3 linked regions of the Styela clava genome follow. Each later gene encodes a partner of the first gene's protein in a complex. Links are inferred from orthologs where the notes say so. Each region holds a gene or a part of one and is shown on either strand. Other genes may lie near its edges.

What was found.
Region 2: trafficking protein particle complex subunit 9-like (region 1) and trafficking protein particle complex subunit 12-like share a complex: the UniProt entries of both Homo sapiens proteins name them as parts of the multisubunit TRAPP (transport protein particle) complex. The link is inferred for Styela clava from reciprocal best matches to the Homo sapiens genes TRAPPC9 and TRAPPC12.
Region 3: trafficking protein particle complex subunit 9-like (region 1) and trafficking protein particle complex subunit 11-like share a complex: the UniProt entries of both Homo sapiens proteins name them as parts of the multisubunit TRAPP (transport protein particle) complex. The link is inferred for Styela clava from reciprocal best matches to the Homo sapiens genes TRAPPC9 and TRAPPC11.

The regions. Positions count from the first base shown.
Region 1 is NC_135261.1:13,762,962-13,770,809, reverse strand, and holds the start of trafficking protein particle complex subunit 9-like, read left to right. Parts: upstream 1-4,741; 5' UTR 4,742-6,005; coding exon 6,006-7,848. UniProt on the Homo sapiens protein: Functions as an activator of NF-kappa-B through increased phosphorylation of the IKK complex. May function in neuronal cells differentiation. May play a role in vesicular transport from endoplasmic reticulum to Golgi.
Region 2 is NC_135264.1:11,781,040-11,788,819, forward strand, and holds the start of trafficking protein particle complex subunit 12-like, read left to right. Parts: upstream 1-4,729; 5' UTR 4,730-4,753; coding exon 4,754-5,648; intron 5,649-6,040; coding exon 6,041-6,214; intron 6,215-6,680; coding exon 6,681-6,796; intron 6,797-6,916; coding exon 6,917-7,030; intron 7,031-7,299; coding exon 7,300-7,429; intron 7,430-7,713; coding exon 7,714-7,780. Other genes in the region: serine/threonine-protein kinase RIO1-like, read left to right, coding at 1-109, 435-560, 955-1,131, 1,202-1,277, 1,629-1,867; serine/arginine-rich splicing factor 3-like, read left to right, coding at 3,145-3,699. UniProt on the Homo sapiens protein: Component of the TRAPP complex, which is involved in endoplasmic reticulum to Golgi apparatus trafficking at a very early stage.
Region 3 is NC_135253.1:11,401,164-11,408,900, forward strand, and holds the start of trafficking protein particle complex subunit 11-like, read left to right. Parts: upstream 1-4,686; 5' UTR 4,687-4,811; coding exon 4,812-4,939; intron 4,940-5,222; coding exon 5,223-5,325; intron 5,326-5,628; coding exon 5,629-5,782; intron 5,783-6,216; coding exon 6,217-6,388; intron 6,389-6,662; coding exon 6,663-6,845; intron 6,846-7,451; coding exon 7,452-7,737. UniProt on the Homo sapiens protein: Involved in endoplasmic reticulum to Golgi apparatus trafficking at a very early stage.

The DNA of each region.
Region 1 (7,848 bases):
TTCAGAATTTTATTGCAATTATTTATATGAAAACACCTAATCATAGATTTCCTTATTTTCCTTGTCTCCCAACATTTCCTAATAATTCTGCGTTTCATTCAATTTCTCCCTACAAAATACCTAGATAAATATTTCTGCAAATTCCACGTTATGACCGTTTTTTTAGGGAAATTTTCTGTAGTTTCAGTTCATTAGTAAACTTTTCGCTAGCCTATGTCCCGCGTTTTAGTGAAATATCCCGTATTTCACGCTTTAAAGCTTCCTGCTTTTTATTGAAGTTTCCCGTGGTCCCCTGAATACATATTTCCTGTTTTTCTGTGATTTTTACCTTCTTCCCGTCTTTTCTCAAAATTTCTCAATACTTATACTATTTTTCAGACTCTCAATATCCCTGCGGACCCCTGTGTAGTCGTCACGGAGTGACGTAAGTAACAGTGGATATAGAGGACTTGCACGGGTCACGTGACCTTGTTTACTGGACGGCAATAAAACAAAAACGTCCATTTGGCTCCTGTCAGTTGCAAGTCGGGTTATACGTTTCCGTTTTGTTTGGCTGTTGAAAATGGTTATTTCGTATTGTTCCGCTGGCTGTACGTATAGTATAGACAACGAAATGGATCTTCAGTTATATTCCACTGTTTTCAAAAGATCCGGAACGTCGCGCAATGTGGATATCATCTATTGGCAGGACTGCTTGGTGTCAAGTCCAGAAGCCATCTCACTTGTGTTTCACTGTTTGCGGACAACACTTCGTTGATGGTAAGTCATAATGTGCCGTTAGCAATTTTTTTGAATATTCATAAGCTCCCTCATTTCAATGGAAAGCAGATGACAAACTACTGTTATTGGTAGGCGTAGGCCTACTTGCAGAGTTGCAGACTTGACTCGTGTAAGATATTAATCAATAATTGCCATAAGGTATTGTTTCCCTAGTTAGCAGGTAATCTATTAGTAAGAGTGAAAAGTTGAATAGATAACTAAAGTTTAACGCCAGTGCTAATGCAAAAAATAACCAGAATTCAATTGAATTCTCCATCTAAGAATACGCTCGCCACCGCATCTCTGATCCCCCTGGGAGTTTCACAGGTTCCAATCCCATGCGGGGATAGTTATGTGTGAGGGGATTGCAGCTCTCCTCCCACTGAGGGTGGTTTACACGACCGCTGGTCGATTACGACATCCCCCACCATCAAGTCCATGCTTCTAAATCAAATAACTGGCTAACTAATCCCGACATAGAATGGTAATCGTACGATGTTGCACCTTGCAATCTGTCCCCAACCACAGATAAATTCTATCCTAAAAACTACCCACATTGGTAGGCATAGTTGCGTTTTAAATTGAAAGAAATCTTCATTAATGGTCAGAAGGTGTTGTCTGATTGTTTTGTTAGTTCGCAGGTAATTTATTACTGATCTGATACACAAACTTGGCACTGTCAAATGATGATTAGTGTTTAATTTATTTTCAGGAAAAAGGGAAGATAACCCATTATCAGCTGCTTATATGTCCCATCGATATTTGAATTTTCGCCAGCCCCAGAGAGGAAGAGAATAGTTAGAAAAAGGGGGATTTTGAAGAAAGGAAAAAGGCAGGACCATTTCAATAAATTCTGTTAAATTGTATGTGTTGCAATATTAATTTGCAGTTGTTAGCATAAACATTTAATGTGTCTTTCGACTAGACCTACCACACTTTAAAAAAAGCCGCCTACACCCCTTTTCACTAGAACCATAATACTGTAAAATATTTGATAGAAATTACCCCCGAGGCATCATATCTTCCATTTGAAAGGGCTGTGGAGGCAGATACATTTTTTACTCTAAATTATGGAATGTTACTTCCAGGTTATCTTATCCTTGCTTATAGATATCTTGAGGTTAGTGACTCCAACTGACCCATGCATGCCACACTGAAAATTCTCTTGTGTAGCCATAAAATAATAAGGCTGTTGGAGCCTTCAGACCTTGAAAACAGTCGAATCTGAGCACGATGGATTCATGTGAAACACGTAATATGCATTTAGAGGCAAAAATATCCCATCCTGAGCAGCACCGATCCACAACCTCCTGCCTATGGAATCAAAACATTAGACAAATTGGTGTACTGTGCGCATTCACAAATCTTTGCGAATCAATTGTGCCTTTTGACTAAAGAAAATTTAGCATTGAAATGGTCAATCTCAATATCAACCTAGTATCTGCAGATAAAACCAATTTTTTTTAAAAATACATTTTTGATGTGCTTTATTTTTCAAATATAATTTATAATTACTGTAAAGTGTGTGATACATTTGGTACCATGAATACCATTTGCAAATTAGCTTGGATTACACCCCTTTCAAATAAAAGTTTAGACTCTTAAGTCATATCTCATAATATTCTTTGAACAAAAGGTTGCGGCTAGCCGGCTACCCATCAGAATTTCCTTCCAGATCACAAAGTCGCAATATTACGCCTCGGTAAGTTTCATTGGCAACTGTATCTTGTTGTAGTATCGGTGTCCAACGTTAGACTAAAACCTTCACTACCAGACCCACCGAAACATTTTTTTTTTCTTGATAGGGTCGTCTTGAAGTTGCTTTCGTTAAAGCACAATGGACACTTTATCTCCACCAATCCACAGTAATCACAAGTTACTTTGTCATTACGATAAGCATCAATAAATGGATACTGAGGATGTATTATCAAGTCACGCAAGCTGAGGTCTTGTGCCACTGTGGTCTTGTTGCAACTTATACTTTGCCATCCATCTATTCCATTGTCGCACCCATATCTGTAAGATAATGGATACAGATAGAGTTTTCATAAAATCTAACGATCAAGGAGTGTGAAATTTAAGTCCATATCCCACCACAGCCACTAGTCGTAAATGAATTTGATTCCGGGTAGCATATCTTTTTTACCAATGACAATAAAAAGACATTTTGGATCAGTTGTACAAGCACCATTAGGATAGGATTTATCTGGGGAGGAGCCAGTTATTTGTTTTCAGAAGCATGGACTTGGATGGTGGGGAATGGTCGTAACCGATCAGCGGTCATGTGAACCACCCTCGGTGGGAGTAGAGCTGCAATCCTCTCGCACATAACTATCCGCGCGTGGGATTGAAACCTGTGAAACTACCAGGGTGATCAGAGAGGCGGTGGCGAGCGTATTCCTAGATGGCGAATCAATTGAATTCTGGTTATTTTTTGCATGACCACTGGTGTTAAACTTTAGTTATCTATTCAACCTTTCACACTTAGTAATAGATTACCTGCTAGTTAGGGAAACAATACCTTATAGCAATTGATTATTAATTCCTTACTGTCTCACACAAGTCAAGTCTGCAACTGCAAGTAGGCCCACGCCTAAGCCTACTAATAACAGTAGTTTGTCATCTGCTTTCCATTGAAATGAGGGAGCTTGTGAATATTTGAAAAAATTGATAACGGCACACTATCACCACATTATCACTCACCATCAACGAAGTGCTGTCCGCAAACAGTGAAACACAAGTAATATGGCTTCTGGACTTGACACCAAGCAGTTCTGCCAATAGGCAATAGATGATATCCACATTGCGCGACGTTCCGGATCTTTTGAAATCAGTGGAATATAAATGAAGATCCATTTCGTTGTCTATACTATACGTACAGCTAACGGAACAATACGAAATAACCATTTTCAACAGCCAAACAAAACGGAAACGTATAATCCGACTTGCAACTGACAGGAGCCAAATGGACGTGTTTGTTTTATTGCCGTTCAGTAACAAAGTCACGTGACCCGTGCAAGTCCTCTATATGTTAAATGTACATTTTTCAGTCGCTCAATATCACTGCGGACCCCCTATGTAGTCGTCGCGGACCCCAGTTTGGGAAAACCTGCTCTAGGTTGACGTAACTGAAGTATTCAGTGATAAGGATAAGATAGGATATACATATTTATCCCGGGGGAGAGGAAAGCCGATAAGACGACTTATCCCTATGGCGAACCACGGCCTCTCGTCCGGTTACCATTCCAAGTCGGGTATGGGATTAGTTTTACTGTATTGTTTGTTTTCGGAAGCATGGAATTGATGGTGGAGGAAGCCGTAACCGACCAGCGGTTACGTGAACCACCCAATGACGGCGAGGAGTCCATCCTCTCGCATCTAACCATCCCTGCATGGGATTCAAACCTGCGAACCCACGCAGAGTAATTAGAGGTGCGGTGGCGAGCGTATTCCTAACGCTTAGCCCGTTGAGCCACACCGCCGCGCCTGATGAGGAAATAAAATTAATAGCCTTCTAACGACAGCATAAACTTTCCAATTATCAATTGGCCTGTAGTTGAAGATATTAACAAGAACATAATTGAAAAAACAAAAGCATATGTACATTTCGTGTCCAAAAATAAACTAATATAATCCCGGTTACCGAAATCTTGCAAAAAAAAATCAATGTTCGTGACGTCATCACCGAGTGGATCCGAGTTGGACTCCGACTCCGACCAATGTGACGTCATTACCGATTGTATCCGAGTTGGACTCACCTCCGACCAAGAAATAGCAAAGTTCAGCAGTTGCAGAGTTCTGGAGTTAGTACCGGTACCGGTATAGTTTGGAGACATTTTTACGTTACTGCTGTGCTGTGGTGTCGTAGTGGCGTAATTTCTGAATGCCATAGGTCAAGTGGGGGTTAGGAATAACATATGCAAAAATGGTTGCACAACGCCGAATAGCGAATATAATGTAACTTACGGCTTTAATTTATACCGGTACCGGTACCAGTACCGGTATTGCCTTTGCAGCTTTGGGTCTCATGTAGTTTCGTACCTAACATACTTCTAGTGGGCGTAGCATGACACTTTTTGTCTTGTGAAGGAAACACCGTAACTGCTTAAATACCCCCAAACACAAATGTGGTGGGAAAATGACTGCTGTAAGGCGCGGCGGTGTGGCTCAACGGGCTAAGCGTTAGAAATACGCTCGCCACCGCACCTTTACTTACTCTGCGTGGATTCGCAGGTTCGAATCCCATTCAGGGATGGTTATGTGCGAGAGGATTGCTGGACTCCTCGCCGTCGTTGGGTGGTTCACGTAACCGCTGGTTCGGTTACGGCTTCCTCCACCACCAAGTCCATGCTTCCGAAAACAAACAATATAACTAATCCCATACCCGACTTGGAATGGTAACCGGACGAGAGGCTGTGGTTCGCCATATGGATAAGCCGTCTTATCGGCTTTCCTCTCCCCCGGGATAAATATGTAAATCTTATCTAAGTGCTTCAATAACGTCAAACAAAAATGTGATTTGAAAATACAACCCAAATTTTCATTTTTTTCTAAAAATAAAAGTCTGGCTTGCACGAATACCGTATGCTTACCGCATGGCATGGGACAAAGGGAGGCGGACAACTCAACTCACAAGACAACAGATGAGTCGTCCATCTTTTTGCATTTTCGACGGCGACACTTTAAGACAATACGGGTGTAATTTCGACCTTTTACATTAAAATCTTGAATCACATTTTTTTGTAACTAACAGTTGAGGTTGCGTTAAACTAACTACCTTTCCTTGCTCCTTATGCCTTTGCGCAGGTGGATCCGTATGCGTATTACGCAAGGATGCTGTAGCAAGAGAACATTACATTTCATTGTCACATTTTTTGGGGGTGTAATTTGAGCAGTTACACTGTTACAGCGTTCATTTCATATTACATTTTTGTAAGGCGATATTTAAATATGTAAATCTTATCCTACTGTCATAAGCAGTTACGGCGTTTAGCCTACTTTAGTACCAGTGTATTTATATATCGTACTGTCTGACTTTATATAATGAATATGAGAACTGCATTTTTTTTGACTAATATATACATACAGACATACCGTACGGTACCGGTGTTTTTTGAAACTGTGTACAAGTGTCATAGGTCGAAATATTGCTGTATTGCAGCGACTTTGTAATTTCATTTTTCAATGACAGAATGATATGAAGTACTGAATATATTCTGTATAATTTATTACTACAAAACAAGAAGATGAGCGTTGCTAATTATATGACATCTGCACTGGATCATTCGCAAATCCTCATTGGTGTCAAATATGCTGCAAACATAAACACAGCATCAGTACAGTTTGTCTTGAAGAAATTGGAACTTTACAAATCTCTTGTGATAAATGATGCTGGGTACACAATTAACATTCGATTTGATGATAATGCATCCCCACAAAATAGCCATTGGGGTCCATTACAGGCACATAGACAAGTGTGTGGAATTGTATTTATTGGAGAAGCTATTAATCCAATGGAAGCAGCTTTAATCCTGGATAAATTTAATAAACTGAAAGAGGAGTACAGTCCAGGATTATTGCATTCTAGGTGTATTATCTTTGGAATAGACACAACCATTCGTCCCCACAGTCAAGATGTTTTTCAATTTTCATCTCACAATGCATGGAAATCTGTGGATTATGATATCAAACAGTTTGTCACAGCAATTTTTTATGAGCTGGAATCAAAACGTTTGCGAATGGCTCAAGAAAGAAGTGGAAAACCAATGCTTATAGCCACTCCGTTTGAAAATCCAGATGAAAAAAATGAGTCTGACAGTAAAGTGATGCGCAAAAAATGTTCTGGTCGTCACTATAAGCATCTTGCTGACGTTAACTTGCTGGTGGGACAAATATCTGAAGCATTACAATGTTATCACAGTGCACTTGACATATTGATTCCAATTAATGATACAGTTTGGGTAGGAAGTGCTTTGGAAGGTTTGTGTGTGGTTTCAGCCCTGGTGCATTTTGCTAGTCTGAAAACTGAGAAATCTTCTGTGAATTTCACCCTTGACCCCCGAAATCTTTCTAAAAAGCCAATATCGTCTTTTGCAGCACCTGATGTTAAAAAGCTTTGTATTTCGTCAATGAAAGATTTAGTGGATCGATACAGAGAAGCTATTATTCATTATAGCAGATATAAAAACTTGGCTGTTATTGAAATGGAAGCTTGTATCAAAGCAACAAAAGTATTTGCTGAGGCTAAAAGCTTTTTAGAAGCTTCAGAATTCATTCAAAATGCTGTTTACATCACACTCAATGTTTCAGATACCGAAAGATTACAACGATACAGTGTGATGGCTGATTTATATAAAAGTATAGGATTTTACAGAAAATCTGCATTTTACAAACGAGTGGCTGCGATGCAATGTGTAGCACATCATATCAAAGAACCTGATTGGAAACTTTGCAACAGACTTTTATTGAACACAATATCATGTCCGACTAAACACTCTATCATCTCCCCATACCTTAAAAACAGACATGGATGGCCAAGTATTAGTCTTAGAATATTACATGAACTTGTATATTCTTTGGAAAAAATTAATAATCATAGTCTTGCACTTCGTTATTTGCTTTATTTGATTTTGAATATGTTTCCTTATTTGTCTGAAACTGATGAAAAGGCAACTTGCTCTGCATTGGAAAATTATGTCAAGAAAAATATTAGTGTACTCGATAGCACATCACCTGAACTCAACTTCTATGTTTTACCAGTCATAACTAAGATTTCTCCTTTATTTGAAGATGATGGAATGAGACCAACAAAGTCTAAAACTGAATCTGATGCTCAAAGTGTTTTTATTTACACACCAACGATTAGACAGTCACAAACACACGAGCTTAAAAAAATTTGTTTTAGATGGTGTGTAAACACAATGTTCGAGATTATAGTACATGTATTTAATCCACTTTCTCATTGCAGTATCAAGATATCAGAATTTTCGCTGATTCTTGATTCAAACAGTTCAGCTATAGATTGTCAACCACAGACTTTTAACATTGCGCCGCAATCATCCTTTGAAGTCGGGATTAAAGTAACTCCAG
Region 2 (7,780 bases), on another chromosome or scaffold:
CGACTTCAGCGAATATAATATTTTATATCATGATGGGGGATTAATCATAATTGATGTTTCTCAATCTGTTGAACATGATCACCCACATGCTTTGAATTTTTTACGAAAGGTTTGTAAAGTTAGCGGTATTAGATAAATTGACAATTCAATGAATAAAAATTTGCAGAAAATATATTCCAATATGGTTATTGAATCATATTTTAACACATTTATACTGTACTATATAGGCCTATTATAGTTTTTTTTTCAGTTATGTTCCTTTCATACGAGAATATGATCTTGACAGTCTCATAATTCTATGTCATTTTGGAAATACACTGCCTAATAGTCAGTTTTTTAAATATAATGCACATATTTCATGACTCTGTTTCTGAAGAATGATCAGGATAACTATAGGTACGTATATTTTATCGATCATGATTTGAAATTTTCAGGATTGCAATAATGTGAATGAATTTTTCAAAAAGAAGGGAGTTGCCGTTATGAATTTGAGAGAACTCTTTGAATTTGTTACAGATGTTGATATAACAGAAGAAAATATCGATTCATATTTAGATAATGTAAGTAAAAAAACATTTTTTCTGTTTCCAATACATTGGCACTCAATTGTACTCAGAAAAGCAATGCGTGTAGGTTCGTCCCCAACTCAGATTTTGAAATTTTTTTGTGCAAATCATCAACTGATTCTAAGGATTTGAAAGTTCTCACAGTCACAACTAAGGGAAAATATCTGGCCCAGCATGATCGATGATTACTGTGAATCGGAACTCATTTTTCATGAATATTGCTAATTATGAGACGCAGATTTTGACAAGAGACAGATATTTGATAAACTCAAATATTTTGTAACTGTACGTGTATTTAAAGAAATAATTTATTATTTTTACCCTTAAATTCAAAAGCTGCTTTATATCAAAATATTCTCTTCTATTCAACTTTTCTTATAAATGTCAGGCTATGAAAATTACGTCGGATCGAGTATCTACACTCGAACAAAAAGACGAGGAAGAACAGAATGCTGATTTAGAGGAGCAAATATTCAAACAAGTTTTTATTCCGAGGACGCTGGATGAAGTTCTGAATTTTGAACGAGATGTCGATGCAGTTATGCATACTGGAGATGACTCACATGTACGTAAATATATTTTAAACTATTAGCTTGTGTCTATAGAGATTTCTAATATATTTTTCTTCTTCCCAGATATTGTACCGATCTGTGACAGGAATGAATGTAAAGTTATCTAAAAATAAAACTACAGAATCTGATGAAGATGAGGGTATATATCCTAGTGATTTTTTTTTACTAATTTGAGTTTATTTTTAAAAAAAATTGACTACTATGACAACTTGAAGGACAACATATAAAAATAGGTGGTTTTCTGTGCAATATACGAAACATTTCAAAATTTAAAATCTCTTTCGATTTATAATTATTGCAGTTAACAAAGTACGACGACAGGCCATCCACGTCGTTGAATATCAATCTATCCTTCATGAGATTAAGGTTACGGCCAAAAAATTTTGCTTGATATTCTCAATGGGCCAAGTTTTATAGCCATCTTAGTCTACTCAAAAATCTAGGCTATTGTGGTCTTTGGTTTAAATGCTATCAGTATATTTATATGCAGATGACAACTCTGAAGACAGCGACAATGATAGTTTGAAGTCTGCTGAAGATGAGAATGAAAGTGAAATTTCCACCTCATCCTCTTGTACAGTTTGCGTTAGAAATATGACAAAAGAAGAAAAAAGATTACATAAACAAAAAGTCAAAGAAGAAAATAGAGAAAAAAGAAATAACAAAGTTCCGAAACACATAAAAAAGAGAAAAGAAAAATTAGCTAAACTTAGGAAACCAAAAACATAATTTGAAGGTGCATTGATGGATTTGTTTTGTGTTCGTTCGGGATGGTTGAAGCCAGGTATATTGCAGTATTGTGCTGCTTAGGCAGGGATTGCATTCTGTCATATACTTAAAAACAAAGCAATGGCCAGAAATACTTCCCTATACGGTCTAATATGTTCATGACATAGTTTAATCCGGAGCGTATATGCTAAACAGGCGACGGCACAAATCGCAGGTAAAAAGGTAAATTTGAGAGGAATGAGGTCGCTGTAAATGTAGGGAAAATACACATCACATTAGGAAAAGATTGTGAGGCGAACTGATCCTAGGGTAAAGGGTGCATTGAATGACCAGACCAGAAATTCCGCAGTACAAGCCTCGGCGTGACAAACGCCGGAGCCCAAGCGCGAAACGGCCGAGAATGCGTGCAAAATCTAAATTTAAGCGTGTAAAAAATAGGACGAACAAATAGATACATTAGTATTGAAGGGGAGCGTCCCAATTCGTTGCAACACTGGCGCTTTGATTGACGCAGAGCATTGGGTCCCAATTTGGCGAAAGGACGGCGACATTGGGTAGTTGAGTTATTGCCCAAAATAACGTGATGGAGGCCTCTTGCGTTTACCTTTCATCCGTCCGCTCAATATATATATTGAAACGAAATATATTACAGTAGTTAACATCCTTATACGGCCAGTGCCTTTATTGGGACAATTGAAAATCCAAGTCAGAGACTTATCCAGTTTACAATTCTGCTATTGTAGTCTGATCGGTCTGATGTAAATGACTGTTCACAGGATTGATGCCTCGCCCCATGATGGCGCCATTTATGACGAAAGTTTCGCCGCATCAGCGTTGAAAAATATATTACGTTATATGAATGTGAGTTTCAAAATCTGGATTACAAAAAGTATCACGTTCAGACGTTTGAAGTAATGCGCGTTTAGTATTGCCTGGGAACAGTCAGTTTGTTATGTTAGAATTTTCAGCACTTTTTTCTCGGACCGGACGAGAGGCCGCCGTGGTTTGCCATCTATTTTATACCGTATTGTGTATACATAATATATTCCCTTTTATTTTAAAAAAGCTTTCATTTTTCTAAAGACGATCTGTATTACTGCAGTACTGTGATACCAGCCAAAGCTGAAAAATATTCCTTTGTGCCTTTTAAGCATAGCTTAAAAGTTGTTCGTTCTTCTGAGTATTATTCATGCAGAACTTTACATTATCAGTTATATGACCAATTAGTATTTGTAAGTTACTAATTTAACTAGTTCAACTTTATTAAAGTCTTTATTATGTCATATAAGGACAGAAGACCGAGTGCTCCACTCGATTGCAAAGTGTACGTTGGAAATCTTGGAGATGGAGCTTCACGAAGTGAATTGGAAATTGAATTCGGACATTTTGGAAGATTAGTAAGTGTATGGGTTGCCAGAAAACCACCAGGCTTCGCGTACGTTGAATTTGAAGACCCAAGAGATGCTAAAGACGCTGTCAGAAGTTTAGATGGAACAACGCTTTGTGGACGTCGAGCGAAAGTTGAACTTTCACATGGGCAAAAAAGAAATAGAAATTTTCGACCCAGTTACAGTGATCGACCACCGAGACGTGACATGTCAGAAGTCCGATGCTATACATGTAATCAAACTGGACATATCGCTAGGAACTGTCGGGAAGGTGGCAAATCACGTTCTCGATCTCCAAGAAGAAGATACTCCCGCTCCAGGTCTCATTCTCCGTCTCGTTCCCGAAGTCCGTCTCCGAAATATTCACGTTCTCGATCTCGAAGCAGAACGCCTGAAGATAAACGCCAGAGTCGTTCTCGTTCACGCAGCAGATCTCGAAGCTGAATATTTAAACAAAAAAACACAAATGACGCCATTAATTCGAAGAAGGAACCAAACAACGTCAAATATAAATCGCAGAGTTTAACTTTGCGAAGTTTGCAGATGTTGGATAGCTCAATATGGATTGGAGATTGTTATGACTTATTGGACTGTATATATACTGTCTTTTTGTTAATGATTTGCTATGTACAAATATTTTCGTACTTGAATTATTGTGGAATTTGACGGCCAATATTAAGTATCTAATTCTTGGTTTCAAAGGTTTTTTTTCGTACTGCGCCATAATTTTAGAGATGTATCTAACCCAACGACTGTAGCTTTAATGTTTGAGCGAGATCACAATCATTCATCGATGAAATGCTGTATGAAAATTTAAGGAAAGACTTAATTGTATATTTCTAAGTATACCGTGCCACAATTATCTTGAAGAGTTCAGCAATTTAATTTCTTTTGCGTCATTTTGAATTTAGAAAATTCAATGCAGAATTTGCTGTCAACCATTCGAATTAGTGAATGGCTACTATTCGTCTCTTTCTCTCTTTCATTTGGCATAGCTTGTTGTCCAATATGTTACTGTCATTGGCTTGTTTTTAAAATAGGATAACATGAAAAATTACAAAACTAAAATGGATGAGGTCACTTTTCATAGGGTATGCGCTATGATAATTGTCATCAGGGATGTCCAAATTTGGATTTGACTGGTTATCTATCAAAACAATGCTTATCTTACAGTCTTATCTATTCTACATTACCAAATTTAGTTTCTATCAATTTACAGTGCTTTTTATCAATTTTTTTGCAGTACGTTTTCCAGCTCATTATATATCAATAGCCTACTCGAAAATATAAATGTAGAATGTATTTGAAACATTGAACTATTCAATTTTGGACATGCTAGCTTATTATTTCTATAAATACACTTTCTGGATTCCCATTGCGTAATGTCCGATAAGCTTTGAATACATCTGATAACTGACTTTTCATGTAATATTAACACTGACTTCTTACTGCCGTGATTTTAGAAGATATATAAATTGTCTAGATATAGTTGTGAGGTATGGCTGATGGAGGTGGCGACGTCCAAAACAACCAATTACCGAATGAACCCATCCCGGTTTGTACCCTTTTCAGTGATGGGTCAATCGACACAACATTATCTCAGAAAGAATTGAAAAAAGATTTTTCTGGCGTGTCCAATTCACAAAACGTGGTTCAAGTTAAAGAAAATGAATCAAAAGAGCCTGAGTTGTGTGATGTGTTTGGAAGTGGCAATTCGATTCCTACATCATCTGGTGATGATATATTTTCGAAAATTTCAGAAGACGCAAAAGCGGATGAAGCCGCTCACGATCATTCATTTACATCTGAGAGCATAGATGATAGCAGTATTTCAACCCCAATGACAGAATCCATAAAATTAACCCCTTCAATGGAAACGCTGCGATTGAATCGCTCAGTCGATTCATTCATTGTCGAAGAATTAATAGAATCTGATGAAATTCCTGAAAACCCAGGTAAAATGGCTCAGGATGTATTATTAAATGAATCACAGCCAGTGCCTTCGGCAGGAATACCATCGTTTTCAATATCGCCAGATGATATGGTGAACACAGAATCTGCTATCTCTGATTTACCAAACGATATTGAAGTGGATGATATCATTGAAGACGCTTCAACGGAAATTGAGAAACTATCATTAGAAGATCCAAATGTAAAACAACTTTCAGAAAATGAAAACACCTCGATACAAGAATCTAAAATGACTTATGAAGAATCGAAAACTACCGAAATCAACGAGACTGAAGAAGTATCTACGCAACAAACGGCTACTGAAACCGAAATTCAACCTGAAATTCCAACTACTGGTTTATTATTCACCTCTGTTCAAGATAAGCAACAAACTTTGTTTCCAAGTCCAGTGTCTGAACGACATGGTATAGAAATAGAGGAAGGTAAGTAAAGGGTTAATATCTGCTTGTATTTGCATTCTTATTATATGTTAATAAAGTACTTTTCAGCTTTTGGGCTCAGATCTAAATAATTTACTCAATCTGAAGTGACCGCTGATAATTAATATATTTTGCAATAGCTGGCAAAATGTTTTTACCATTTGCTAGTGGTTTTTCTCCTTGATGAGAATAAGATATTTGTTCAAAAACTTCTCTTAAAATCTTATTTTCAAATGGTATGCCAAGTGCTTTAATAAATTCTACGTTTTATTCTAATTGTAAATATCAATTATGAACTAACATTGCTTACATATGCAAAAGTTTGTCTTATATTTGATCGTCTGTATCAAAAATTATGTTGTAACAATTGCGTATACTTTCCCAATTTTCCACAGATGACCCGTTTGCTGCCGCTTTGAGTAACAGTGTTCTTGATCGAAGACGTGATGCCTGGCTACCTTGTGAAGACACTAGAGCCATATTGACCGCTGCAATTGTGAACCATAAATCTCCTGATTTAGAAATGGAGAAGATTACTAGACCAGGATTATCTACCAGTGAATTGTTAGGTTTGTATTATTGGTATGATTTGGAGTTTTTCATTGAGGTTTGAATTTCTAAAATGATTTTCCGTCCCTTGAAAATGATAAATTGGAACTTTTTCGGCATTTGGCTTTTCTCTTAATTTGCCCTAACCCTGTGGGTTTGCAGGTTCGTATCATGTGGAGGATAGTCATATACTATCGATTTGCTGGACGTCATTGCTGTCAAAAGGTGGTTCACATAATAACCATTGGTCAGTTACAGCTTCATGCATGTGAAACAACTGATCAACATTTCGCATACCAAGATTGGTAACTGAATGAGGGGCCCATGATTCATAACATGAATACACCTTACTGTTGGCTTTTCCAGAATAAATATAAATATGAAAAATTTTAAATTACCGTAGATTGGTATTCTTGTTTTGTGCCTATTTTCTAACCTCACAAAAATTTTTGTGTGATATAAAATAACAGTTCCCTTTTTCTGTAGAGGATCCAGTCAAAGAGCTTGTCGTAAGAATGACGGGGTCAGAGAATGTTGTGAAACGTGGCAATCTGACAATGGACGATGTCACTCTCAATAAAGATGGAATCAAAAAACTGATGGTACATTTTCAATCATAGCACAAGAATGGAATTTTATGATTTTAACCAAATTTTTAATTTGATACATTTCAAAATCAGGCGCAGAATATAATGAAGTCAGTTTTTTTTTTCATTTTACAGGAATCTGGCAATCTACGATCTGCTGCAAACCTGTGTGCTAAACTATTAACAACTCATGGTCAAGGATTTGGTCAAGTTACACGAATGACACTCAATACATCAGAAACATTACAGGTTTGATTTTACTTAGTTGCAGCCTGTTGGTAGAAAATTAATAAGTCAATAAGCTGTCAATGATACTGATTTTTATTGTGGGCATGATATGGTATAAAGTAGAGCTAATGAAAGCAATACTCAAATGGAAAGCTAAAAATATTATACCGAATAATAAAAACGGAGTGAGTATTCATGCAAGTCAAAACTATTGGCAAATTTAATATTGCATTATTTCTTTACTAGCTAATTTTGAATATGTTTATTAATTTGTGTTGTTTTGTTTGTAGTTGTGGTACACTCGCATATATATCCTCACAAAATTAAAACTATATGACATGGCTACAAGTGAAATTTCTACTTTCAAAAATCTCGACAATGCAGACTTGTACTATGAATTTTATCCTGATGTCTATCCAGGTGAGAATTATTTTTATTCATATATGATCATTTAATTATGCCTTTAACTTAACGTAGTGCTCAAGATGGAGGGTAGTGCCCAAAAAAAACAGGGCATCGCATCCTTCAAAGTGTTAGTAGTCAACATACTGATTACCCTGCATTGGTTTGACTTCTATGTGGTTGATTATATTATTATGAACAAATTAGCTCTTCTCGTGCCTAGGCTATTGGAGTGGCTGTGGTCTTCTGCAGTATTCTTCTAGCTTATACTGATTTCCATAAAATTTTCTTTCCATTTTTAGGTCGTCGAGGATCCATGGTTCCATTTTCATTTCGACTTCTCCATGCTGAGTTCCCACGTCATGTCGA
Region 3 (7,737 bases), on another chromosome or scaffold:
ATTACTGCATTAAGAATTAAGTGTGTACAATTTTATCTGTATTTGGAATTTGGTTCGTGCATCTTTTCAATAATATACAACAATTCGACAATCATCATCGTGTGCTTATTATCGTCTGAGGGAATCCAGATTGGAGTCACATTCCATAACACGTGAAATTAATAACGTGGGAATCGAACTTTGAATATTAGGGTGAACAGTCTTTATCCCTATAACCGCATCTCAGCTCCCTATATATATACCGTATTTTCCGGCGAATAAGTTTACCTGGCGAATAAGACGAGGCCCGCTTTTAAGCCTGAAAAAATGGATTTTTGCATATAACCGGCCAATAAGTCGGGGTAGTAAAATCGCATCAACATCGGAATCTTAAATAATCATGCAATGCCCTCTGAGCGGTCGCCGCGTTTTCGCATTGGTTAAAATAGCCTATAATGACTTTTTTGTAGCGTAATATTCAATCCTTAACAACTACGGGAATTCAAACTGTCTTTCAATTTCAGTCTAATTGTGTTCAAATCGCGATTGCGTCCGTCATACAAGAACATTACTGATCTAAAATAAGACGGCAATTTGCGGACACAATAATGTGAGATAAACTACCTGATTATATTTAGTTTTTATGAATAAATATACATATAAAGTGTTTATATGAAACATGCATATCGTCACGCTAATAACCGAATTGCGCAAGTCATTTTTAGCAGTTTTGAGAAAAACCTAAAAACTTTCTAATGATATTGCTATGCCATTGAGAGTCAATAATTTGCCATAGTTCAATTTTTTGATCGTAGCCGGTTTTAAGTTAATTTGTATGACGCAGTCATGTGACGTTATAATGGCGCACTGTGACTTAGGCAGAAATGTGTCTATGACTAGGGGACATACGCAATTTTGCAACTTGACTCTTGTACCAGTCCTGAAAACCAAACAATCCAAAAACGAATGTAATTCTTAGTATTTACGATGTCTGATCCCCAAAATAGTTAATCTGTTTCAATTACATTATTTTTTATGTTTAAAAATATATACTTCATAACTGGACACGATATATATAACACGCTCTGCACATCCACCGAAATAAGACTAAAGTTAAATATAAAGAATAAAACAACAATGTACCCTTATATAAAAACCAACCAAGATGAATTGGACTCAAAAAGTGAATATCACAAGTGCACGCCTTCCTATACTGTAGTATAAATTGAAATTTAAAAGCGCTAGGCTAGAATCTGAGATGCAAAAACTCGAAAATCCTTCGAGGAGGTTATTTTGCCGTTGTGACGTCACAATACTCCTGCGTTAACAATGATAATTCATTATGACGAAACAATTGAACAAATTTGCATATTATACAAAATCTCTATTTTCATGGGCTTCGGAATTCTTAGAATAAAATTTGGGTTAACAGACAGATGCGCAGCATTACATAAATACCTATTTTATGGAAAACTCAAAACCGCCAAAAATGACTTACGCAATTCGGTTATTAGCATGACGATATTCATCACCTCGAAATGTCCACAAAACGAAATGTGTTGTTTCATTGATTTAATTGGGATTATATGTTGTTTTTGTGGGTTTTACGGTAGGAACAAAACCTTAGGTCAGCGATAATATCCCACCGAGTTATATTTATGTCAAAAAAATGAATTAAATATATATTCTTTACATTACCGTAATTATGGTATTATACACATAGCAGCGTCTGGCCCTGTCGGTGATTGTGGAACAAAATTTTTTTTCGTGATTAGCAATGCCTAAAAATCATCTTTAATCTGTCACATGATGTTTCTGTTTTATTTTTAGTATTATATAATGCCGCTTTTAAATCAAGAAAATTTGGGTCATGTAAACACTTATTTATCTTAGCCTGTTGTCACACATGATTATGTGATAACTCGTATCTCACAACACAAGTGCCATGGTTGCTTGGGAGCAATAAAGTAATTATCGTTGTCCTCGCTGCAAATTTCTGACTTAGAGAGAATAAATGCTGAAATGAAAAAGGTTTACGGCTCAAATAAGACATCACGATGACAAAAACAATTGACAATTTTCACAAATTGCAATCCCACGTATATCGGTAATAGCCACGCAAATGAGGCAACTTTAAATATGATAATCACAGCATTGAAATTTCAGATTCACAGCAGGAGATTGTCGATTTATTTAAACTAACCTGACGAGGTTATTTATTGTCCAGATTTAATAATGAGGCGACATCAAAAAACTGAAAATGATCTTTTTCGCCTAATAAGACGAAAATCCCCCCCCCAAAAAAAAAAATCAGGCCAAAAATTTGGGTCTAGAAAAGCGACTTATTCGCCGGGAAATACGGTATATGTTTTAATCGTGTTATTGTCTTATATGTCTGCCAGTATGAATGTTTCACCCCCAAATAAATTAATATTCCAGTGTGGGATATTGCTTGACATTATTTTATCAAATTAAGGTAATTGGAATGGCTACCTAGAATAATAGTATTTCTATAAAAACACTTTCGCTGATTCTAAACTGACCCAAAACCCACTATCAGGGTCATACCTCTGCTCAATTTCAATTTTACCTCTTTTCTTCTCATAGTTATGCAAAATATTGTAATTTTGTTCGTGTTCGAATACTTTCAAATTATTGAAATTGAACTATCATCTTTTCAACCCTTGCGCAAAATGATAACCGCACGACATGCTCCGTAGCAAAATGTCCACCACCACCTAAAATTGACTTGGCATTTTGTGTAGTTTCACAAATATCGTCTGGTGCTTTAGTATTTTTGTAATGCGTATTTATGAATATAATTCATAAATATAATTGATCGCGTCTGATGTTGTGTGAATTTAACATAGCCTTAGTTTTGAAACAGGGCGAATACAGTAATGTACATGCGCAAAGTACGATATTCACATACATTCAGTTAAGTATTCAAGTCTGGGCAAGCTCGATAGATAACATTATTAAACGTAACAAATGGAAGTTTCGCCGCTGCCAAGGTTTAGAAATGAACTTGACGAATGGCGTGTGTCTTGTCTAAGAAATTGTATTTGCAACGGTTGCAGTGGTATCAGAATGCCCAATTTTTTTCTAATTTAGGCAAGCGAAGAATCGGACTTAGAGGAAATTGTAAATTAGATACTGAAGTTTGAGCAGTCATGTAACATTTATTGTTTGAGAATATTTATTTAGTGCTGTTCCGATAATATGGATACTTGTTACTTGGCAATGTTGTTTTAAGTAATTTTCAACACTTGGAACATAGAAAATACAAATATTTGTGACGATTTCATTAAAAATACGCCCACAGTGCCGAGCTTATTGGCAGCGGTATATTTTTTGTATGCGTGTGTGCAGTTATCTGCTTATTCATTACTGATTCGTTTATGTGGAATGAGTATTTTAGTCGATCGCGCTCAAAATAAGATTGGCCACCCCTGGGATATATTAGAAACTATTCAAACCGTTCGAAAGCGGTTGTGCATATCACTAGCTAAGAATTTATTAAAGATTGAACAAACAACGAAAAAATAGTTTTTATGCGTAGCGACGGAGGAATAAAGAGATCGAAAATAGGCAAAGGAAGGCATTCATCAAAATAGTTTGGAACCTCTGTTTTAGTTAAATCAAGGCACGGCATGGAAAAACTGATTTAAGCCATTTTGCAAGCGACTACCCGTGAAAACATAAGCACAGATATATTTGCATAGGTAAAGCTTAAGTAGAATATTGCATAGTTTAATCCAGGGGTGTGCAACAGGCGGCCCGATGGCCACAGCCCGACTCGCTAAGCTATTATTTAGTGTGCACTCTGCACTATTCACTCTGAGCAAGGCTTTTTAGACAAATAGAAAAGGACATACAGTATTCATTTCACCTTCACGCAATGGGTGTATTTGGGTATCACACACGTAGAGACTTGTCATTTTATGTCCAGCGATGAGTCATGTATTGTGTCACACTTATTCATAAGTCGTTATACATTTTCACTCCCAATAGGCTTTAGGCGAGCAGAAACGGACATAACGGACAAAAACAACAAGTCTTTATGTGTGTGGTACCCAGCTACGTCCATTGGGTGACCGTAAATTAATATGTCCATATCTGCTTGTCTGAAGCCTTGCTTGGAGTGAAAACGTATAACGAACGCATTATCACGAAGTTGCTCAGATGATTTAATCGTGAATGTTCGTTGGGGAAAATTGGTGTCTCGCTTGAGTTCCGTATTTATTTGAGCTCCGCGAAGCAATTCGCAGGCGCCATTGCGGGTGATCGTCGGATTCGTCGCTGTACTTCGGAAAACACTATTTCAGTATTTCGTGATTGCGACGTCGCAGTGACTTAATTTTTGGATGCATAGTCAGGGGTGAGTCAGGAATGATATATGTCAAAATTGCTACGCGCAATAGAAGTGGTACTGTACCAAAAAGACTCTACCTAAAACCATGCACTCATGATCTCAGGCACTCTTTTCAGCTTCTAGGCATCGTTTCCAGTACTTTCATTTTTGTCGTAGTTCATTCTGTCATTGGGATTTTAGTCGTATTTGATCTTGAGAATTTATGCATTTTTATATTGCATGGAACAAAAATGTACCAGTATGTTTGTATAACTGTATAAGTGAATCATTTTTTTCAACATAATAATGTATAATTACTTAATTAGTTTAATTATTCATTTTTTCCCCTTCCATGCTATTTTCAATAAATTGGTAAGTCTGTAAGTAATATAGTAAGACCAGGATAAGCTATAGACTAGCGTTTTAAAAAAAACTGGACAGCGATTTCGCCCATCATCACATCACTATAGGCTCGGGCATGGCTTCTGCTACGGATTTGCCTCAGGAATTATGTTATGATCCAATGTCTTTTGTTGTTCTTACTGGATTGGATATAAAATACAATGCTATTCACAAGTCTATATGGGATGCTTTCAGCAATAACAGGTAATAGTTATCTCTTTGACATTTGAAGTTTCATACAAAAATTGATATATTACTGTATTATGAAACATGCACTCTTTCTAAAGTTTTTCAGTCCATTAATTTCTTATATATATTGATTATCACAATATAACCTACATTATACTTTACTTATTTTCTTCCTGATGGTCATCATGTTCTTCACATGATTTCGAGGTATGCCTTTCTGTTTACATAAGAAACTGTTCAATTTGAAAATGATTTGATCTAATAAAACTTCAATTTTATAGAATAAATTTTATTACAGACGAGCTGACAGAGTTCCAATATCTTTTGGTTGTCTTCCTGGGGATCATTGTTATCCAAGATCCAAAGATAAAAGAACATCTTATGAGTGGTATATACCTAAGGTATGCAGAATTTGATTCCATATATGCTTTTCTTAACACCATACTTTGTTTTGATCGGATTAAAAGTTTTGGTTGAGTTAACTATTTTGTCTTGTCTGTATACCTATAAATATGCAATTCTGCAGTGCTTTGAATCTTATTGTTGTCCATGAGTTACTTACTCGATTCTTGACTTTCAGAATAGCCCAATCTAAATTGTGCTAACACGCTATTAGGGACGAGGCATTAATATACATGGTCTAAAACATATTCATTTTTGCCTAGATCAGACTTACTTATATTCAATTGCTTTACTGATTTCAGGGAATTTTGAAAACAAAATGGATGGATAAACATTTGCATCAAGTACCTGCTGTTGTTGTTATCTATTATGAATTGGATTGGGATGAACCTGCATGGAGAGAGAAGCAAATGGAATGTGCATCTCGTGTTGAAGTTGTACGAACAAGCTTGCAGGGTTGGTGAATTTTTTTTTTCCTATGCTAAGTATTTGACAGTCTTCTGCTGAAAAAATTAAACATTCTTGGGCGCTACAATATTGTGAGGTCTACACCATATGTCACTTACCTAGATGCGATCTGGGGTTAATCATGTCAGGGTTAGGGGCATATTCATGCCATAAATCACTAAATTAAATGTATAGCAATAAGTTATATTTGTCAGGGATGAAAATTGCAGCAGCAGACCTCTTGGATCTCTCACGCTACAGTGTGGTTTACCTTATGCTTTTGTAGCACCTATTTTTTCAAAGAAATCAAATTTAGGATTTTCAATAGCATAGAAAATACTCATATGTGTAGAATTTTTTGCTGTCTGTTTGAATGTTAGAAATTGAAGCTATACAAGTAATATAAAAAAATGCTGATTACACTCATGTACTGTTATTTTCAGGACGAGGAACAAAGGTTGCTGTTGTACTTATACAGAAGAGCACTCCATTGCCCCCAGGTGAAGATATGGTTGCTGCAGAACGAGCTGCCGCACTTTGCAGTGCTTGTGATCTATCAGCCAAATCATTGTTTGTGCTTCCTCATACTGATCATCTATTAGGATATATTATAAGGTACCTTAAAACATGCTTTGTTTGAATTGTTATTGGTTACTCAGATGTTATAAGAATGTCATAAGATCTCTGGTACAGTCATGATCCGTGGTCTCCTTTCAAAGACTCTTTATTGTATTTCATGTGAATTAATGTAACCTTATGTAAGTAAATAAACGTTTTTCTGAAATCTTTGTTGCAATTGCCGGATTATTTTTGTCGAACTTGATTAAATCCAATAATAATGAATATTATTATACGAACCTTATTACTATATATTTATGAATGTTTTTAGACTTGAAAATGCTTTCTATGAGTTGGCAAACAGTTACTATCACACTGAAGCTAGAAGAGTGAAAGCTCACAAGGAATTCCTGAACAAAACAACTCATCAACTTTTATTTGTGAGGCATCAGTTTAAAATTGGATTCTTCAACGAATTAATGCAAGATCCAGCAAATGCCCTTAAACATTATAGGTAAGATTTCAAAAAAAATTTAGATGAATACCTCCACTCTTCCAGCTAATTTGTGAACAAGTGTAAAAAACTTGATAGATCTGAATCGATATCAATATTTGTGGAATTTGTTTATCTTGGTGGCGCTTTCCTAAAGTCAAACGCTGTGGATTTTTTTATTTTATGCGACAAATTTATGTATCTTTCTGCTCTGAACATGCCTCTGCACAAGCAGCCATGCTCCATGAGGAGCTACTATAGTTTAGAAAGAACGGAATCTTTCTGGTTGACATTGCCTACCCTATATATTACACCCTGGTTCAGGTGGTGGTCCTGGGATTTGAACCAAACCACTTGACCAACAGCTCATGTATCATGGTTTACTTTTGTTAGTGCTGTAGAACAGCACTATTTAAGCTTGTTAAGACAGTATGTTCAGCTTGTTTTATCGGTTCGACTATAATTATGCTGTATTAGCGCTACAGGAAGCTTTTTAACAGTAATGAAGTTACGGCGAAATGATATTTATTAAATGTTCAACGACTGACGTTTTCCCACCACTTTTAGAAACTCTTGTCTTGTATTCCAGGAGGTTTGATAATATTTTTTTATCACTTATTTTATTAGACAAGCTTATACCCACATTCATGAGTTGCGATCACATGATACAAATAATCTTGAAGTCAAAGTCATGGGAGGATTTGTCAACTACAAGATATGTCGATTGTGCTTCCTGAGACTCAATATGCCGCTTGAAGCTATATCTCAATTTCGTCGACACGTTGATTCCTTCAAACCAAAGGCTGGCAATGAAGAGCTCATGTTTGAGCACAGCGCATGGATGAGTAAACAGTTTACTGTATTTGGAGATTTATTTGATGAAGCAATCAAAGCTGGTTTAGCCGCTATACAA